Xenopus tropicalis: one gene and its partners. The protein of the gene in region 3 interacts with the protein of the main gene of each other region in a pairwise test. Links are inferred from orthologs where the notes say so. Each region holds a gene or a part of one and is shown on either strand. Other genes may lie near its edges. The genes, in order: tcf19, fam214b, dnaja3 and htt.

Region 1 (5,421 bases), on a different chromosome or scaffold from region 3:
ATGACATCTGTATCAAATGTTAATAACTACACCCATAGGTGACTGAATTCACTGGGAGGTGCACCCTAGGTGAAATTAGCTTTCCTTGTCCTTAAAGGTCACCTTTATATATTTAAAAATTGTTAAATTTGTGTTTTTATCATTTTGTTGCTTAAAGCAGAAGAAAGGGAAAATCACTGGGAGTGCCAGGGGGCACCCACCAGTGACTGTAATGGCTTACTTTTTATCCCAGGCTGGTGCTCCTGTTAGGAGAAAAGCATACCAGCCCGGGGTAGCTGTGAGCCAGCCATTCTCGTTCTTTTCTTGCTGCTTGCGCACAAGCAGTAGAGTAAAAAGCTGAACTAACAAAAAATCCAGCTTTTTCACTCTGCTGCGTATGCGTGGCACTCCCAGTGATTTTTAGCTTTTCTTCTCCTTTAATTTACCTATTACAGGTATGGGATCCCGTATCCAGAAACCTTTTACCCAGAAAGTTCTGAATTACAGCAAGCCCATCTCCAATAGACTCTATTAAAAGCAAATAATTCTAAAAAATTATTTTCTTTTTCTCAGTAATGAAAATAGTACCTTGTACTTGATCCCAACTAAGATAAAATTAAGCCTTATTGGAGGCAAAACAAGCCTATTGGGTTTATTCAATGCTTAAATTATTTTTAGCAGATTTAAGTTATGGAGATCCAAATTACAGAAAGATCCCTTATCCGGAAAACCCCAGGTCCTGAGCATACTGAATAACCGGTCCCATACCTGTATTATGTTATAGGATGGCCTATCCTTAGAAACTTTTTAACCAGTCTTTCAATTTTTTGGATTATGTACAATTCTCTTCTGCCGCTTTTCAGCTTTAATACAGAGTTTTGGTTGCGGGGCTTAGTGTGCCCTATTTTAAATGATTTCACTTCTATTCAGGTACTTTTCTTTTATATTGCACTCTCTCATTCAATCAACTGCTGGTGGCTAGTGTAAACAGGTGCCTAGTAACCATATTGCTGCCGACATTTCAAACTGGACAGCTGCTAAATACAAAACTTACAAATAAAAAGACCTGCATATTTTCTCAGAATTTTCCACTCTAAAACATAAGTTCATGTAAAAAATCTTGGCGTCACTGGCAAACATTTGTGTTTTGCTTACCTGCTACTACTGAGTGAATATAGGCTTGAAGTCTCTATTTCCCAACAGATCTTAATAACAATCTCGCCACTCAAGAGCATACATCTATGGATAGCATGGTAATAACAACCCGACCCATGACTGTGATGGAACTATAATACATTCCTCTGTACGCTTTCCCTTCTGCGATCAACAAATTTCGCGGCTTTAAGCCCGGGAACCAATCCCCTATCCTACTGCAGCCGTATAACTAACACCATTCCAAACAGAACTACAACAAATCCTTCCTCCTGGCAACCTTCTTTTACCCACTCACTGTTCGTATTTGTTTGTTTCCAATAAAGTTAAGCAAGATATATTTGCGTAGCTGCTATCCAATCATAAGCACAGAGGAAACTAAGCCGCCAATCATAGAAGACACGAAGTCTCTTTCGCGAGAGTTTGGCTGGTAAAAAAAAACAGGCGCGGAGAGCTCTTAACCAATCAGTATAAAGTGAGTAAAACTGTTGTCGGCTAGGTACAGTGTTTTTTTGCCAGACAGTTCGTTTGTAGGCGTGGTTACAAGGAGGTGGGTGTCAACCTATGGGCGATAACGCGCCAAATTTCAAAGGCGCGCTTCCTTCCTCTGATTTCCCGCCGTGGTCCCGGTCAGAGTTGGGCTCAGCTGGTAGCGGCGGCTCGGTGGGAACCGTGACGTCACGCACTCAGTCTCCCCCGCTATATTGCGACTCCCATGGGAAGTAATTGCTAGGGGGAGATTTGTGCATGAAGAGTACATCTACTGTAATAGTGTGGGATGCAAACTATATTGAGGTCTGCAGTGTTAGGTTAGGCAGCCTTAGTCGGTCTAGTTTCTGTTCTGTACAAGGGCATTGTGTTGCTGATAGAATTAGGTGAGATGGTTCTTCTGTGCGAGGTTTAGGGCTGCTATTAAGTATTAGTGTGCTGCACTGCGACAAAGAGCTCCACCTAAACTTATAAATAAAATCTATATATTTAGACTAGCAGGGACAGTATTTCATTGTGGGTAAGGGACTCCATTAAGGTAGTGGGAAAAAGGTGGGTTGGTCAGAAAATTGGCAGGCTGCCATGGTAGGGTCAGAAGTTGTGCTTACACAGGTACAGCCCTGTTTCCAGCTTTTGCGCATGGGCTCAAGCCCAGGACAGTCAAGCATAAATGCAAATAGCACAGCGTCCAGAGATTTGTATACTTTCCTGCCAGACTCGCCATGCTGCATCTACCGACTGGGAGCCCAGCATGATTTATGTGATGTCCCCCTCCCTGGAAAACCTGCTGTCCATGCAAAAATACATGCAGAGCGGGAGCTCTCAGGAGACTGGAAGGTTAACTTGGAAAGCTGCACTCACTTTGGTAAGTTTGTAGCCAAATAGTTCAGGATATGTAGAGATTTCATCACTCTTATCTGGTGAACAACTATTTCTTAGGTATGCCCAGGCTCTCTTTGTTTTGGGCTCATTGTACTCCACCTATCGCCCTTTATGTTTGTTATCCCAAGCCAATGCTCACACACCCTACTTAGCTGTGTTGGTAACCCTGTGAAACATACAGCGCTGCTCACAAGCCCACAGAGTGCTCTCATTCTCAAAGCTTTTATTTCCCCTGCCATAACTGTAAAGCTGGCCATACACGCACCGATAATATCGCACGGAACCTTGGTGCATGTATGGCAACTCGGCAAGGTGACCAATATGGCAGAAGGCTGCAGATATTGGTCGACTCGCTGATTGGGCGCCATTGAAGGCAAAACCTTCATGGCTGAATCGGCAGAAGGAGGTAGAAATCCTATTGTTTCTACCTCCATATCTGACGATTTAGCCCTGAACGTCAGTGGAGGGTTGGAAGGATCTTTCATGCGACCAAAGGTCACATGAAATATCGAAAATCGTCACGTGTGTGGCCAGCTTTAGACACTGCCCTAAACAGACAGCTTCTTAAGAAAATGATTCCCCTTTTTGTGGCAGTAGTGGGCCTGTATTCAAAGCTTAAGGTCCCCATACACAGGCCGATTCTAGCTGCCGATATCGGTCCCTTAGACCGATTCGGCAGCTAATCGGCCCGTGTATGGGCACTACCGACGGGCCTGCCCAACTGATATCTGGCCTGAAATCGCCAGATATCGATTGGGCAGGTTAAAAAATCTAGTCTGATTGGGGACCGCATTGGCTCGTTGATGCGGTCCCCGGACTGACTTTGCCTATACTTGCCGTTATAATTCAATCGTTTGGCCCCAGGGCCAAACGATCGAGTTAGCCTGGATTCTCCCGATATTGCCCCCCCGTAGGTGGGGGATATCGGGAGAAGATCTGCTCGCTTGGCAACATCGCCAAGCGAGCGGATCTGAAGGTGTACGGGCACTTTAAGAGAGGTGCTGGATCTCTAGAGCAGAAAGAGCCCTGTTCCATCCTCACTGCCACAAAAGAACACTTTTTACAATGTATGGTATATTAAATAATGGGTGATGTGCTTGGCTAAAGTTTGAGGGAAAACAAGGAAAGGCAATGTCATGGCTATATGGACTGCCATAAAATGAAACAGTGTGGGCATGTGATTAATAACATGAGGAAATGTCAGTGTAGGTAAGGGACAGCTATAGAATGGTTGGTGAGATGCTGCAAGTTGTTATAGTTGTGTTTTACAGTGGGCAGACTGAATGATGTGTGTGTGTTTTGAGGGACCGTAGTCATGAAGTTAGCAATGGAGATAGAGCTAACTGAAGTTACTTCATTTAAGGTACATATGCATTCTGCAGAAGTATATGCTTGCATCTGACAGTGGTAGGGATTGATATTTTTGTTGCTGTATGCCTACTGGAATACAGATTTCCACTTAATATCCATATCTTCATCATTAGAATGTTGAATTGATTATCCAGGTACAGTATAGAAACTAGTTTCTTACTGGAGATCCAGCAATTCAACCGCAAACAATCACTTTTCTTACTCTTCTGCCATTACTGCAATGCTTTTATTAAGGTACATTCCCTTTGTGTCCTCAAACAGGTATATACATAAATGATGTTCATCTTTTGCAAGGACAGAGAATGGAACTTTCAGATGGTGACCTCCTCCGCTTCCAAGAAAAATCAGATGTTTCGCCATGTCAGTCATCTTCCCCTGACACGTACTTCCTTTTCCAGCGTGTTAGAGTGCGTCCATTGGACTTTTCCGCTATCACTTCCCCACGTGCTCGATCCTCTTTTCCTGGTTTTACCCCAGTTTTAGCCACACAGAGACTTAGTGGAGGGCGAGGCGGGTCACCTCACTATACTACTGGAGCCACTGTTATTCTGAACTCCATTGGCAGCATTAGTAAAATGAAGCGTGAAAGGATGCAGGGCATTGGGCTCATGGGAGGAGCAGTGGAACTGACCAAACCATCCACGCCTGATCTTCCTTTACCCTCTCGGACTGGAGTTGAAAGGAGACACAGCCGAAGAAAAGCACAGCATCAAGTACTTTGTGAACTAGAAGAGGATGAAGAAGATGGACAGGTAGAAGTAGGAGAAATGAAGAAGAGGAAAAGAGGAAGAAGGAAAGAAGAGAGGAAAATGGTTAATCATGAGCAGACTGGAAGGTATTAAGAATTGTTATCAACATAAAATTGTGATTTCACCAAGGAAACTGGCTTGTTTTAAGTAATTTCTCTAACTGTTCAAAATTGTCGGATTCTAGCTACCATTATCCCATATGTTATTACTCTTGCACCCTGCAGTATGTACCTTATGGAATAACTTCCATGCTTTCCATGGTATTGGTTGAGCTGCATCAGTAAAAGGGCTTGTCTGTCATCTTTAAACATGTTAAGGTTGCCATAGATGGTATTCTTTTACACCAAAACATTACCAATTTCAGGACCATCTGATAATCTTTTAATTATCATAAAGTTAATGGTAACCTTATGAATTGTAAATGTTATGATCCAATTATACTGTCCTAGAAATTGATCAGGTGACATGATTTTAAAAATATTCATATTCATGCAATTTAAATTTATAAAGCAAAACCTTGGTGCAATAGCGGCATAACACAAGTTAAAAACCAGTACATTTGTATTTGTTGGTAGAAAACATGGAGAATATCATTAAGTGCATTTTCAATACAATTTTTTTTTTCTCTCTTCCCCTCTAAGGAAACCACGTGGACGCCCAAGGAAGCACCCCATCCCTCCTTCTGTAGTGTCCCAGACAGTGTCCAATGCAGAGCCTTGTGCATGGCGTTCATGCTGCCTTCCACAGGAAGAAACAGTCAGCTGGGTTCAATGTGATCACTGTGATTCATGGTATCATG
Region 2 (5,342 bases), on a different chromosome or scaffold from region 3:
TGGGGGGCAGTAGTGGGACAGTGGGGAGCAGTAGTGGGACAGTGGGGGGGCAGTAGTGGGACAGTGGGGGGCAGTAGTGGGACCAGTGGGGGGCAGTAGTGGGACAGTGGGGGGGCAGTAGTGGGACAGTGGGGGGGTAGTAGTGGACAAGTGGGGGGGCAGTAAGTCGTTGGCACGGGGGTAGGGAACTGGCGGGTACAGAGGGGGGGGGTACATTCTCTACAAGATATCGGCTGATATTGTTATGCTTTTATCTCCTTTTGCCTTACCCCCCCCCCTATATGGAACGTACCATCATTAGGGGTCGGCTCGCTCCCCCGGGTACTAATTAGCTTTCAGCATCTGGGTGAGTTACCTGCTCGGAGTTAAAGGGGCCGCGCACTCATTAACCCATCGCTCTGTGTGTGTGACAGTGATTGGCCGGGGAGACAAAGGAACAGATGGCAGAAGAGTTGGATCCTGGGGGCCCTTGGGGGGGATGCGCCAGTCACGGGGCCACGGTGCCAGGAACAGGTCTTGTTACTCTGCGGTGTCTGTAGGGTCGGATTTGCCCCTGCACCAACCACCGGGGGCACAAACCTAGGTCTGCACATAGGGGAGGGTAAGTACCTGTGGGTATTAGCGGTGCCACCTGCCCGGGGAATGTTGCTTGTGCCATTAGTGAGGTTGGGCAGTGATGTTGGGGGTCAGGCTCACAGTCGGGGTTCCATCCCACAGGGGGTCAGTTGGGTTGCCCCTCCCCTTGCTGCTATAACTGCCCCTGCCCTTCTGGGAAGGTTCCCACTAGATGGTGGAACAGTGTTGCTGGGAGTTGCTCCCATTCAGCTAGAGGGCTGGCAGGGCAAGGTCATATGTGCCCGGGCTGAAAGGGGAGGGGTTAATAATACAGCTGAGAAGGGGGTGGCAGTTGTATGTATGTATGTATGTATGTATATCTTTATTTATAAAGTGCTACTTATGTACGCAGCGCTGTACAGTAGAATACATTAATACAAACAGGGGGTTAAAGATAATGAATAAATACAAAGTACAACAATAAATACAATAAATACAAGGTACAGTTGCAATAAGAGTCAGAAACACAAGATGGAGGAGGTCCCTGCCCCGTAGAGCTTACAATCTATATGGGAGGGGTAACAAACAGACACAAATGGGCAAATGTAAGTGCTGTAGGTCACAGTGGGTGACATTACAGTATAAGTTGTTAATAAGAGGGGTTAATAGTACAGCTGAGAAGGAGATGGCAGGGGAGGGGTTAATAGTACAGCTGAGAAGGAGATGGCAGGGGGAGGGGGTTAATAGTACAGCTGAGAAGGAGATGGCAGGGGAGGGGTTAATAGTACAGCTGAGAAGGGGTGGCAGGGGAGGGGTTAATAGTACAGCTGAGAAAGGGAGGGTAGCGAGTGGCAGGGGAGGGGTTAATAGTACAGCTGAGAAGGAGATGGCAGGAGAGGGGTTAATAGTACAGCTGAGAAGGAGATGGCAGGGGAGGGGTTAATAATACAGCTGAGAAGGGGGTGGCAGGGGAGGGGTTAATAGTACAGCTGAGAAGGAGATGGCAGGGGAGGGGTTAATAGTACAGCTGAGAAGGAGATGGCAGGGGAGGGGTTAATAATACAGCTGAGAAGGAGATGGCAGGGGAGGGGTTAATAGTACAGCTGAGAAGGAGATGGCAGGGGAGGGGTTAATAATACAGCTGAGAAGGAGATGGCAGGGGAGGGGTTAATAGTACAGCTGAGAAGAGGAAGGGGTTAATGCTTCAAGGTTACATAAGTAGGGGTTTGCAGGGGTTAATGGGGGAGATAAGAGGGGGGGCCGGCAGGGCAGGGGTTAATGAGCGCAAGGTGAGCTGGGAGGAGGAGAGAGCTGAGCTGTGACTTCCCTGCCTACCAATGAGAAAGGAGTTTTTACAGCCAATCAGCGGGCCGACCGTGAGTGAAGGGGGCGGGGTTAGGGAGGGGCCAAGCCCAATCAGCTGGCAGAGTGAGGGCGCAGGGCTCCGGCGCTATTGAGGCAGATTGTGGCCCCGGAGCCGCCGAATCCTCCCGTCACAGACCGACCGCCCCGCCCGCCCGCACCCCGGGATCCAGCCGGCCCTCTGTGCCCTCTCCCCGGAGCCTCCCCCCACCGGGCCTCACACCCCTGCCTGGGAAAGTTTGGGGTAAGTCTGCCCTGGGGGAGGGGTATCAGTGCAACACTGGCTGCCATTGTACTGGGCCACAGGGCTTACACTCTATCTACTGCTGGACACGCCCTCTGGGAGGGGCATCTGCATTCCTCACAGGTCTCTTTAACCCCTTCCCCTTAGTCCTTATGGCAGGGAGCTTGTCCTGAGAGATATGGCTCTGTGGTGCTGGGAGTTGGGGGAGGCCCACCCTAGTGCTGGGAGTTGGGGGAGGCCCACCCTAGTGCTGGGAGTTGGGGGAGGCCCACCCTAGTGCTGGGAGTTGGGGGAGGCCCACCCTAGTGCTGGGAGTTGGGGGAGGCCCACCCTAGTGCTGGGAGTTGGGGGAGGCCACCCTAGTGCTGGGAGTTGGGGGAGGCCCACCCTAGTGCTGGGAGTTGGGGGAGGCCCACCCTAGTGCTGGGAGTTGGGGGAGGCCCACCCTAGTGCTGGGAGTTGGGGGAGGCCCACCCTAGTGCTGGGAGTTGGGGGAGGCCCACCCTAGTGCTGGGAGTTGGGGGAGGCCCACCCTAGTGCTGGGAGTTGGGGGAGGCCCACCCTAGTGCTGGGAGTTGGGGGAGGCCCACCCTAGTGCTGGGAGTTGGGGGAGGCCCACCCTAGTGCTGGGAGTTGGGGGAGGCCCACCCTAGTGCTGGGAGTTGCCCCGGGCCCACCCTAGTGCAGGGAGTTGCCCCGGGCCCACCCTAGTGCAGGGAGTTGCCCCGGGCCCACCCTAGTGCAGGGAGTTGCCCCGGGCCCACCCTAGTGCAGGGAGTTGCCCCGGGCCCACCCTAGTGCAGGGAGTTGCCCCGGGCCCACCCTAGTGCAGGGAGTTGCCCCGGGCCCACCCTAGTGCAGGGAGTTGCCCCGGGCCCACCCTAGTGCAGGGAGTTGCCCCGGGCCCACCCTAGTGCAGGGAGTTGCCCCGGGCACATCTGCCTGTATATTCTGCTTGCATTGTATTTACTGCACTTTGCACTTTCCTGTCCCAAGGAAACACGGCATTCTATCCCACTGGCACAGATCCTATCTGATCCCCCCCCATTGTAAGCAGCAGTCCTGCCCTGCTTTATGGCTGAGATTCTAGCTATCTGTATAACAGAGCATTCTGTCACAGTGGCACAGATCCTATCTGATCCCCCCATTGTAAGCAGCAGTCCTGCCCTGCTTTATGGCTGAGATTCTAGCTATCTGTATAACAGAGCATTCTGTCACAGTGGCACAGATCCTATCCCCCCCCATTGTAAGCAGCAGTCCTGCCCTGCTTTATGGCTGAGATTCTAGCTATCTGTATAACAGAGCATTCTGTCACAGTGGCACAGATCCTATCTGATCCCCCATTGTAAGCAGCAGTCCTGCCCTGCTTTATGGCTGAGATTCTAGCTATCTGTATAACAGAGCATTCTGTCACAGTGGCACAGATCCTATCTGATCCCCCCATTGTAAGCAGTAGTCCTGCCCTGCTTTATGGCTGAGATTCTAGCTATCTGTATAACAGAGCATTCTGTCACAGTGGCACAGATCCTATCTGATCCCCCCATTGTAAGCAGCAGTCCTGCCCTGCTTTATGGCTGAGATTCTAGCTATCTGTATAACAGAGCATTCTGTCACAGTGGCACAGATCCTATCCCCCCCCCCCCCCATTGTAAGCAGCAGTCCTGCCCTGCTTTATGGCTGAGATTCTAGCTATCTGTATAACAGAGCATTCTGTCACAGTGGCACAGATCCTATCTGATCCCCCCATTGTAAGCAGCAGTCCTGCCCTGCTTTATGGCTGAGATTCTAGCTATCTGTATAACAGAGCATTCTGTCACAGTGGCACAGATCCTATCTGATCCCCCCCCCCCATTGTAAGCAGCAGTCCTGCCCTGCTTTATGGCTGAGATTCTAGCTATCTGTATAACAGAGCATTCTGTCACAGTGGCACAGATCCTATCTGATCCCCCCATTGTAAGCAGCAGTCCTGCCCTGCTTTATGGCTGAGATTCTAGCTATCTGTATAACAGAGCATTCTGTCACAGTGGCACAGATCCTATCTGATCCCCCCCATTGTAAGCAGCAGTCCTGCCCTGCTTTATGGCTGAGATTCTAGCTATCTGTATAACAGAGCATTCTGTCACAGTGGCACAGATCCTATCTGATCCCCCCATTGTAAGCAGCAGTCCTGCCCTGCTTTATGGCTGAGATTCTAGCTATCTGTATAACAGAGCATTCTGTCACAGTGGCACAGATCCTATCTGATCCCCCCATTGTAAGCAGCAGCCCTGCCCTGCTTTATGGCTGAGATTCTAGCTATCTGTATAACAGAGCATTCTGTCACAGTGGCACAGATCCTATCTGATCCCCCCATTGTAAGCAGCAGTCCTGCCCTGCTTTATGGCAGAGATTCTATGTGAGTCAGTAGGAGGCACAGACTGGGTGCTTGTGGGAGTGGCTGGGCCTATTTCTGTGCTGCTATAGATAACGACTCCCTACTAGGTGACATGTCAGTGGGTGACACAGTGGGTGACACAGTGGGTGCTACAGAGGGAGGGAATAGCCCTGCGCTGCTGTTCATGACTCGGCAGATACATTTGTTCCTGAGTGAGTCACTGCGGTGCATCTGCTCCCGGTATAAAAGCGGAAATGAGTCGCCAGGCGCCAGACAGTTGTCAGAAATGAATGAGAATCAGTAGATCCAGTTAGGCCTGTGGGTTTCCCAGCAGGCCGTGGGGTAGAGTATAAGCCTTTGGGTTCCCCGGTACCTGGGGCGCAGCTTTCTGTCTGACCCGGGACAGTTTGTTCCCTGCCGTGGGACACAAAGCGCAAACATTGGACAAACAAACAGAACTCACATTTTCCAAAGCTAAGAAATTCCGAAGCCTCCTTTGTTCTCTGGCCGTGAAGTGAACTCCCCGCCCCCTGTAGGGACTACACCTCCCAGCATTCCCAGCGGGCACATTAGGCACAAGTCTGAAAGTGCTGCGGCGATAAAGGTCTCTCTAAATCATTGAATGTATGTAGGTGGGAGCTGCCATGTTTGTTCCCTAAGACAGAGGAAATGGGGGGGGGTGTTCTGGTTACCCAGGGAGTACTGTGCCTGTCCCAGTGGTACAGCAGGGGAGGTTCTGGTTACCCAGGGAGTACTGTGCCTGTCCCAGTGGTACAGCAGGGGGGGTTCTGGTTACCCAGGGAGTAC
Region 3 (4,403 bases):
CTGGGGGTGCCAAGGAACGCAAGCCAGAAAGAAATAAAGAAGGCCTATTACCAGGTGGGTCTCACTTGCAGAACACTTTTCATACCTTCAAGGCATAATGGACTATTTGTTACCATGGTACAGCAGCTGTTTGGAACCATCTTATAGATTGTAAGCTCTGTTGAACAGGGCCCTCTCTACTTCTTGTATCAGTCGTTATTAGTATGTTATCTGTATGTTTGATGTATGTACCTTTTTGTTGTACAGTGCTGCAGAATATGCTGGTGCTGGTTTCGTTTGAGCTATAGTTATCTCACTGCTGAATACAGTACAGAGACTTTTAAAAATCCATCTCCCTTGCTCAGCATAGGAAGGAAAGGGGTTGGGATTCATTTTTATATATATATATATATATTTTTTTTTTTTTTTTTTTTTAATGATTTAGGATTTTGTTCAGCAGGGTCCAATTTTCCCTAGCAACCAAGCAGTGGTGTGAATGAGAGGCTAGAATATGATAATAAGCAATAAATAAAAAAATTCCAAAATTGTAGCTGGAGATGGCTATAATTTTCAGACCCTCCATTTGAAGCAAGAGAGAGGTAGAAGAGAAAGACAAAAAAAAAATAAAGACCAATTAAAAAGATGCTAATACACCGTTCTGTAACATACCCCTTTAAAAATGACTAAATGCTGCTGCTGAGGCTTCTTAATTTTATTTACAGAGCTGACAAGGTTCTTATTCATTTATTTTACTTTGTGTAACTGGGGGTCTGTTGCATCATCATTTATGGCAATGGCCAATGGGGAGATTCTAAGGGGTGTATTTATTAACATTGGAAACAAACATTACCGGTGATGTTTCCCATAGCAACCAATCAGCAATTAGATTAGTATGGTCATCTACAAGTTGGAAAACAAAAGCAAAGATCAAATTGGATGCTATGAGCAACATTACCTGTGATGCTTGTCTCCAGTGTTAATAAATACACCCCCAAGTGTTTTGTCTTTGCTCTGCTGGAAGGGGGTAACACATTCAGACTTTCCCCCTTGTTTTCTTTCAGTAGCAGTCACTTTGCTGCATGAGTGCACCCACAGGTTCTGCCACACATTATAGTGACCATCACCTGACTAACTAGTGCGCCCACATTGTCAGGCAACTGCTTCTGATATAATCAGTTTGGAATTCTTCTTCCTTTTACCTTGTCACAAAGTTTTTGCATTTAACTGCTGCTGTTTTCCTTTCCAGCTGGCCAAAAAGTACCATCCAGACACTAACAAGGAGGATCCGCAAGCCAAAGAAAAGTTCTCTCAGCTGGCAGAAGCATACGAGGTAACAGTTCTAAAGGGCACAGGGGCATATTCTCTGCCAAAGAGTTTTTTTTAAGCTGCTGGAAAGGCGCCCAAACTTGGCCTTTCAGTTTATCATTTACTTTGACAACCAGGGACAGTGCATTTAAACTCCTACTTGGCAAAATCCAGATTTTGAATTAAATGACATTCCTAAGAACTGTCGCTGGCGCAATCTGATGTCCGTTTTCCTGCTTAGGTTTTGAGCGACGAGGTTAAACGCAAGCAGTATGACACTTATGGAACTGCAGACTTTGCTGCTGGGGCAGCAGGGGGAGGAGGACAACAATACTGGAGAGGAGGTCCTACTGTTGATCCAGAGGAACTGTTCCGAAAGATCTTTGGGGAGTTTTCTGGCTCCCCATTCGGAGACTTGGGTAGCATGTTTGAGCAGCCGCAAGAGGTAAGAGAGTAAAAGCCCAGACTGGCAATCTGTGGGTTCTGGCAAATGCCAGAGGGGCTGCTGTAAGATGCCATAGACAGTCACTATTTATTGGGCTGGTGGGGGGCTGTTTGGGTCTTTGTGTTCTTGAAATGCCAGGGCCTATTTTGCATCCCCATCCAGTCCTGAGAGAGTAGCAAGAAGCAATGGTCATATTTTGGATAAGTGGCGTTGCTTTACCAGGCGATAAAACTTCTCTCTTTCAGTACATCATGGATCTCACGTTCATTCAGGCGGCTAAGGGAGTGAATAAGCAGATCTCTGTAAACATTACGGACACGTGCCAGAGGTGTGATGGGAAAGGAAATGAGCCCGGCACCAAACTGCAGCACTGCCATTACTGCAATGGAACTGGCATGGTAAGAACGACATTGACATAGGCACCTGTGTCACGCTGATTTTGGTCAGGCAAGATATGACCGTTTGTTTGTTTAATCAAGGAAACTATCAACACTGGCCCCTTTGTGATGCGCTCAACATGCCGGCGCTGCGGTGGGAAGGGAGCTACGATGACCAACCCTTGCCTGTCATGCAGAGGCTCTGGCCAAACAAAGCAGAAGAAAACTGTTACAGTGCCTGTGCCTGCTGGTAAGTTTCTTGCAGGTAAATAGATATATAAATTGTGATCCATTTTGGAATGTACAATGGAGTCTCATTTTTGATTCCTGACAGGTGTGGAAGACGGGCAGACAGTTCGGATGCCGGTGGGAAAGAAAGAGATTTTTATTACATTTCGGGTAGGTGCTTTCTCCTGGGTCCTAAATGCTTTCAGTTCTAAGTGGGGTTGCCTTTCCCTAACTTGCCTGTGCTGTCCACAGATTTTGACAACTGTTTTCTTATAATATGATTTGAGAATTAAGAAGTAATGAGTTACAGGAGTATTGTGTTACTACCCATCCCTGCACAGCAGAGGGCAGTAATGCTTATCCTTGGCAATGTGCTTTAGTTACACAGCAGCCTGCTTGTCTTGCATCAGACATGTTATGTTTTCTCCTTCAGTAGTAAATTCGCCTACTTTTGTCAAGTAGATTTGCTGCTAAAAATTTACTTTATTATTTCTGCTGGAGGCTTCGGTCATGTTAAAGGGGTGGTTCACCTTCAACTTATAGAATGGCTTATTAGCAACTTTCCAACTGGTCTTCGTTTTCTGTCTGTTATAGTTTTGAAATTGTTTACCTTCTTCTGACTCTTTCCAGCCAAAATTAATATTGCTCTGTAAGGCTACAGTTGTACTTTTTATCACTTATCTTTACATTTAGGCCCTCCTCTATTCATATACCTGTCTCTTTTTCAAGCCACTGCCCAGTTGCTAGGTTAAATTGGACCCTAGCAACCAGATAGCTGCTGAACAAAAAGCTAAATAATTCAAAAACCACAACAAATAAAAAATGAAGACCAATTGCAAATTGTCTTAAAATAGCACTCTCTGTGTTGTGATAAAAGTTAAAGGTTTCAGTCCTAGAAATTTTTTTTACATCCTGTTCAGTCTCAGGTACTGGAGGACTGGCATTAAAACCCCTGGTCTGTTACAGGTGCAGAAAAGTCCAATCTTTAGAAGGGATGGGGCAGATATTCACTCGGACCTGTATATTTCCATTGCTCAAGCTGTTCTGGGGGGTTCGGCTCGTGCACAAGGACTTTATGATCCCATCAATGTCCCTGTAAGTATAACTGTCTTATTATTTGTTATGCATGGTCAGAATAGCAGGAACTATGAACGCACCAAACCCAGGCTTTGGCCCAATCCCAACACTTCAGGGCATGTTTATTAACTCTTGAGGTTTGGCAGATATGATGCCAGAAAATGGGAGTGAGTTCTTTTCATCTTCAAGATGGATATTTTTTGCAATATTTGCTGCGCTACTCTTTGTTTTAAGCTTGAATACAGGGTCACTGGGAAGTTAGCCTTTTACCATAGAAGGACTTTCAAAAAATAGTTAATGGGGGTAAAGCAATATTTTTTTTAAGATTTCACCATATTATTCCCCCCCCAATATATAGGATTTTGGTCAAATTAAAAAATGATGCATGTGGTCAATACCTAGTATTTATTTAATCTTTAAAAAAGTCATGTAGTTCAACCCCTAAAACCGGTCTCTTGCTACTCTTCCCAGGTCCCTGCCGGCACACAAGCAGACCAGAGGATTCGGATCAGTGGGAAAGGTATCCCTCGTATGAACAGTTATGGCTTTGGAGATCACTATATCCACATCAAGGTCAGAGTACCCAGGTGAGAGATCTTATGAGAGAACATTATGGAATGCCAAGCTGGGTAAAATAAATGCAGCCTAACTAATTGGCAAATTTCCCCTTTTGTGCAGGCATTTGACTGACAGGCAACGGATGCTAATGCTTAGCTTTGCAGAAGATGAGACAGATGTAGAAGGAACAGTAAATGGCATCACTAACACAACAACAGGTGAGTGATCCTTACAGGTTACCCCAGCTACAGGAAAGGTGTGGGGCTTACTTACTAAGGGCAGTGACACATGAGGAGATTAGCCACCCCGCAAATATCCTCTAGCGGTTGCAACCAATCTCCTCTGAATGCTTTTCTGCCAGTGGAAAAACGTGTCGCTTCAGCTTTCCGAAGTTGCCTTCAGAAAGCCAAAGTGTCTCATATTTTTTCCCACCA
Region 4 (4,876 bases), on a different chromosome or scaffold from region 3:
TATATTAGAGCTATATACAGGCATAGTGACATAAAATGTAATTCTAAGCAACTTTCCAATAAATATTTATACACATTTTTAATTATTATAAACACATTTGTAAACTGTTATTGAAGTAAGTGGCTGTCTATTACATTCTCTGCCCTCCTGGCTCTGACTCCTAAAGCAATGTTGTAAGCCAACTGATAATAGCTGACTCGTTACATTGTTTTAAGAGACAGACCCAGCGCCCAATGCTGTTGGGGCATTAAGTACTTTGACACTACTTTGTGGAATCTCATAAAAAATGCATAGCACAGCTTTACACAACACCCACACACAAATTGCAAGAGTTGAGGTGTCAAGGCATTACTTTGTTTGCTATTCACAATCCAAGCAGCCAATTAAACTAATTTACAATTAAGTTAAAATGAAAATCCATTTTCTGATATTCAATATCCCTTTAATCTCACACACACCTTCCCGAATGTAGCCCCATATTATGCTGGCTTAACATTTAGGCCTTGTGAATGTATCACAATGATATATGTGGGTTAGTAGTTAGGTAATATATCCTAGTGGCATGAAGTATATTGTCTATGTATGAATCATTCTTTGGTAAGAGGCAGAAGGCATGACCTATATGAGGGCTCAAGTTTAAAACTCTGCCTAATTTGATTCCTACATCTTCTATAACTTGATTGAAAAAAACTCCTTATCCTAATGGAAAGCTGCTCTAGCTTCAATATAAAATATGAACTTGCCTTGTGAGTCAGCAACTGAGCTCATATAGACATCCCTGAGTCAAACAAAAAGCTGAGAGTCCCTAGGTTAGAAGAGACAAACAAGCTCTTGTTAAACCTAACAGAACTACAAATGCACTCACCTTTTTAATTTCCTTGTAAAGTTCTAACTGCAGCCTCGGGAGATTAGAGTCCATTAAAGCCTAGATAAGAAAGAAATATACTTTTCTTTAACACACAAACATATATATGGGTGCATGGGTGGTTTAGATTGGGAGAGGGGCCTCAGCACAGCCCCTATGACATATATATATATATATATCACTATCTTTCTTTTTCATACGGGCTACTTGTTCCAGGTTGTTCATGTTAAGTTGGACATATATTGCCTGACATAAGCTGTTGGCTCAACCACTCCAGAATAAATGGCCAGTTTATAAGCAGGTACCTGGCCGACAGCATGCCTGAATGATATTTGGTCAGATCTTTATAAGATCTGCAACAGTCTCCCAACAGGTCTGATAGGCCACTCTTATGACTTTATCATTGACCTGAGGGAGAAACAATTGGAGATAGATGGGCAAATTAAGCAAAGAACTGCTTATATGGTAAGGTGGCAAAATGAATATATCTTTAAGTGTATGCCCAGCTATAGTTGGATAACTTTTTGTTTTTAATATTGACAACTAAGGCAGGATCTGCAAGCAGGGACTTTTTCTTTTAGTTCTTGAGCCACTCCATTGTAACTCTGACCTTGTGTTTGGAATCACGTCTCTGCTGCAATTTTACCCATGTTTGCTGCAATTTTGCCCAAGTTTCAGTTGAAAACTGAAAAAGGTCATTTGGGGCCTAGTCCTTGCCGATTAACATCAACTAGGACATCCAAATGCTTAAAAATGTTTTGTAGCCTTTTGCTCTTTAGTATTCAGTTTCATACCCATTCTTCATATTTACAACTGGAATATGGAACACTAAGTGCTATACTAAGAACATGCTGCATTCTTATTGTCCTACTTCTTGTGTTTATTAAATTGCCACTAATTGCTCTAGAGTGTATGCCAATCGTTTGAATGAAAAGAGCTGCAGGTTGCAATGCATCCACTATCACTCTAGCTTCTGAGCACTAATAGAGGGAGTCAAGCTCCTTGAGATACTTCTTATTGAAGTCATCGGGAAACAACTGAAGGAGATTTAATTATTTAATTGCCATGAGTGCCAGTGGCATAGCCCTTAACTATGGAGTTTTTATCCAAAAAAATGTAACCCTTATTTTAAGGATTACCTGTGAAGGGTCAAATTCAAGACAATTTTATTCATACATTCCCATATATAGTCTGCAATCTCCAATACATACCTTCACCACTTTATTGAGGCATTCATCAGCAACCATCCGCACATCAGACTCTGCGTCATCGCTGCACAGTAGGAACAGCTCCATGGCAATACCCAGCAGCTTCTGGAACTCGGGAGAATTCCTAATGCAAGAGTGCAGGTCATCAATATTTTAAACAAAACACATGACTAACACAGACAGTCCTACTACCAGAAAGGACAGTAAAAATGTAGCCTGTGTATAAAAATGATTTCTATAAAGCACCAAAAGATGATGTAAACACCTACATGCATAGCAAAAGAACAGATAAGTCAAATGTAAAGCTCACTAAAGATATGGATTTTATTATTGTATTAGGGAAACCTACTTCCCCATATACTTATATACATATTTATAGATGCAGCAGAACATGCATGTGGAAGAGGGAGCTGACAAATCCATTTACAGAGGGCACAGAGCCATTGACACAGAATACAGAATGGAAAATATAGAAGCAATTGTTGCTGCAAGGCAAGGGGCGAAAGCAGACTATATCTGTACCTTAAAGACTGTGCAACAATGTTTTCACAAATTGTTAGACAGTGATTGACACGATCTTTCTTGTTTGTTGAAGGATCTTTCTTCCTAAGAGAAAATAAAATATAAGAAAACGTAAGACTAATTTGAGGAAAAGGAGGTATCACAAGTTATTATGATAATATATATAGAAATTATTCCATTCTGATCTGCTCCGTGTGTCTGTACCTAGGCCGACGCCGTGGCTCCCGGTGCAGACACAGAAGATTTCAAGTATGAGTGGAGAGGCTGTTTCTCAGCCTGCATATAAGCTCAGCCAAATATGGCGTTACCCTGACGTGTCTATTTATCAAAGCATGAACAGTCACAAAGTTGGGCATATATCAGGAGGGGAGACCCCATAAATGGAATGATAATAATCTGACTCGGTATGAAGGGACTGAATTGGCAGGTTCTATTGGTCCATTTCGGGCCAGTTTTACTTAGGGACACAGGAAGGATCCTCCCTACTGTATGCCAAAAAGCTGCCATCTGCCTGATTTCTATTTTTTTTCTGTACCAAGTAAAAGCTCTGATTATAGTTACAGAATGAATGTAAGGTTTTACTTGCAGCCCTTGCTGTATTTGGGCAAGCTAATATATTTCAGCCTTATTATACTCAGTGCTGAAGCTGTCATGAAAAGCTAATAGTTATTTGTGCCCTGCAGGGAGAAACTCTATTATATAACGAGCTAATAGACATTTCCATTAAATTTCATAGAAATAACTATGTCAAGCACAAAACAGGGCAAAAATACATGTATAATAGCATTTCCAGCAGCGAAGGGGGAAAAAAAGCTTTTGCATAGTGCATTTGTAGCTTTAAGCATTCAACTACAAGGACAATGGCAGATGGGACATTAAGTCTACGCCACTTATTCTCACTCTTTCACAATATTTTAAATAGTATACCGCAAATAATTATTTTTTACTATGTAATAATAAATTTGTTTGCCTTTCCTCTCTCTTATAAGCTCTGTAAGATTTGAATACATTAGTTGATGCATCAGAAGCACAAGAGAAATGCAACTGATGTATCGACTACGATAGTAGCTCTGTTACAGAGATTGGTAAGTGCAACTTATGTATCAACTAAGATAGTAGCTCTGTTACAGAGATTGGTAAGGCTCTAGCAGCAAACTCTGTATGGGTGAAACTTCTGCTGCTTTATGAAATGTCCAATTGTCTAAAAAGTTTTTAGCAAATAGACCTATTTATCAATACTGATACACAAAGCTGTTAAATATAGGAAGGCCATTTTCCATAGCGCTTTAACTCTCTTTAATAATAAAACAGCACCTTATACTTCATGGTAACTCAGCTGCGTACATCCATGTTGGGGACAATAGAGAAGAATTGTTTTTAGTATCCTTAATGCATTGTGCTACATATTGTGGATCCCTTATCTCAATGTGTTTTGATTAATATATGCATAACAATAGCAAACTTAAACCCTATTTCTTAAGAGTATGCATTTAAAATGTAATTTCTTATTCACTGTCACTATGTTTATCACACTTTAATAGACCCTCTGTTACCTGAGCAACAAATGAGCAATTTTTGTCTAATTTAAACAGAATGCTTGCTAATTCTGTGCAAATACCGTATTTTTCGCCATATAAGACGCTCCGGAATATAAGACGCACCCAATTTTAAAGGAGAAAAATCTAGAAAAAAAAGATTCTGAACTATATAATATACTAATTATCAAGTACTTGCCATCCTGCTGTGTGCTTTGCATGACTAGAGGTGCGCGCGCCAATGTCAGCAGTGTCAGTGCGTGCCGATTGGCACTGCAAGGGGAAGAGGACGCATGGTACGGACGTCCACGGGGGGGGGTAATATCCCCCCAAATATTACAAAAGTGCCCCCATACACAGTGCCCCAATTGCCCCATAGACAGTAGCCCCCACACACAGTGCCCCCAATAGAAAGTGCCCCCATACACAGTGCCCTAGTTGCCCCCATAAACAGTGCCCCCAATTGCCCCATAGACAGTAGCCCCCACACACAGGGCCCCAATAGAAAGTGCCTCCATACACAGTACCCCCATACACAGTACCCCAATTGCCCCCATAAACAGTGCCCCCATACACAGTGCCTCAATTGCCCCCATAAACAGTGCCCCCAATTGCCCCATAGACAATAGCCCCTACACACAGTGCCCCCAATAGAAAGTGCCCCAATTGCCCCCATAAACAGTAGCCCCCAATTGCCCCCATATAAAGTACCCGTGACAGACCATCGCCGGAGGCTCCTCTCTTAT

The links.
Region 1: the proteins of dnaja3 (region 3) and tcf19 interact in a two-hybrid assay, tested with the Homo sapiens proteins (2 studies listed by BioGRID and IntAct). The two-hybrid records come from large-scale screens. The link is inferred for Xenopus tropicalis from reciprocal best matches to the Homo sapiens genes DNAJA3 and TCF19.
Region 2: the proteins of dnaja3 (region 3) and fam214b interact in binary tests that used the Homo sapiens proteins (3 or more experiments, as listed by UniProt). The link is inferred for Xenopus tropicalis from reciprocal best matches to the Homo sapiens genes DNAJA3 and ATOSB.
Region 4: the proteins of dnaja3 (region 3) and htt interact in binary tests that used the Homo sapiens proteins (3 or more experiments, as listed by UniProt). The link is inferred for Xenopus tropicalis from reciprocal best matches to the Homo sapiens genes DNAJA3 and HTT.

What each region holds. Positions count from the first base shown.
Region 1 is NC_030684.2:75,140,909-75,146,329, reverse strand, and holds the start of tcf19 (transcription factor 19), read left to right. Parts: upstream 1-1,638; 5' UTR 1,639-2,202; coding exon 2,203-2,485; intron 2,486-4,134; coding exon 4,135-4,708; intron 4,709-5,263; coding exon 5,264-5,421. UniProt on the Homo sapiens protein: Potential transcription factor that may play a role in the regulation of genes involved in cell cycle G1/S transition. May bind to regulatory elements of genes, including the promoter of the transcription factor FOXO1.
Region 2 is NC_030677.2:212,898,900-212,904,241, reverse strand, and holds the start of fam214b (protein FAM214B), read left to right. Parts: upstream 1-1,943; 5' UTR 1,944-2,161; intron 2,162-5,342. UniProt on the Homo sapiens protein: Transcription regulator that may syncronize transcriptional and translational programs.
Region 3 is NC_030685.2:20,290,968-20,295,370, reverse strand, and holds part of dnaja3 (dnaJ homolog subfamily A member 3, mitochondrial), read left to right. Parts: coding exon 1-54; intron 55-1,225; coding exon 1,226-1,309; intron 1,310-1,525; coding exon 1,526-1,729; intron 1,730-1,974; coding exon 1,975-2,127; intron 2,128-2,208; coding exon 2,209-2,356; intron 2,357-2,440; coding exon 2,441-2,505; intron 2,506-3,300; coding exon 3,301-3,429; intron 3,430-3,882; coding exon 3,883-3,998; intron 3,999-4,089; coding exon 4,090-4,187; intron 4,188-4,403. UniProt on the Homo sapiens protein: Modulates apoptotic signal transduction or effector structures within the mitochondrial matrix. Affect cytochrome C release from the mitochondria and caspase 3 activation, but not caspase 8 activation.
Region 4 is NC_030677.2:22,741,755-22,746,630, reverse strand, and holds part of htt (huntingtin), read right to left. Parts: intron 2,680-4,876; coding exon 2,596-2,679; intron 2,198-2,595; coding exon 2,077-2,197; intron 926-2,076; coding exon 866-925; intron 1-865.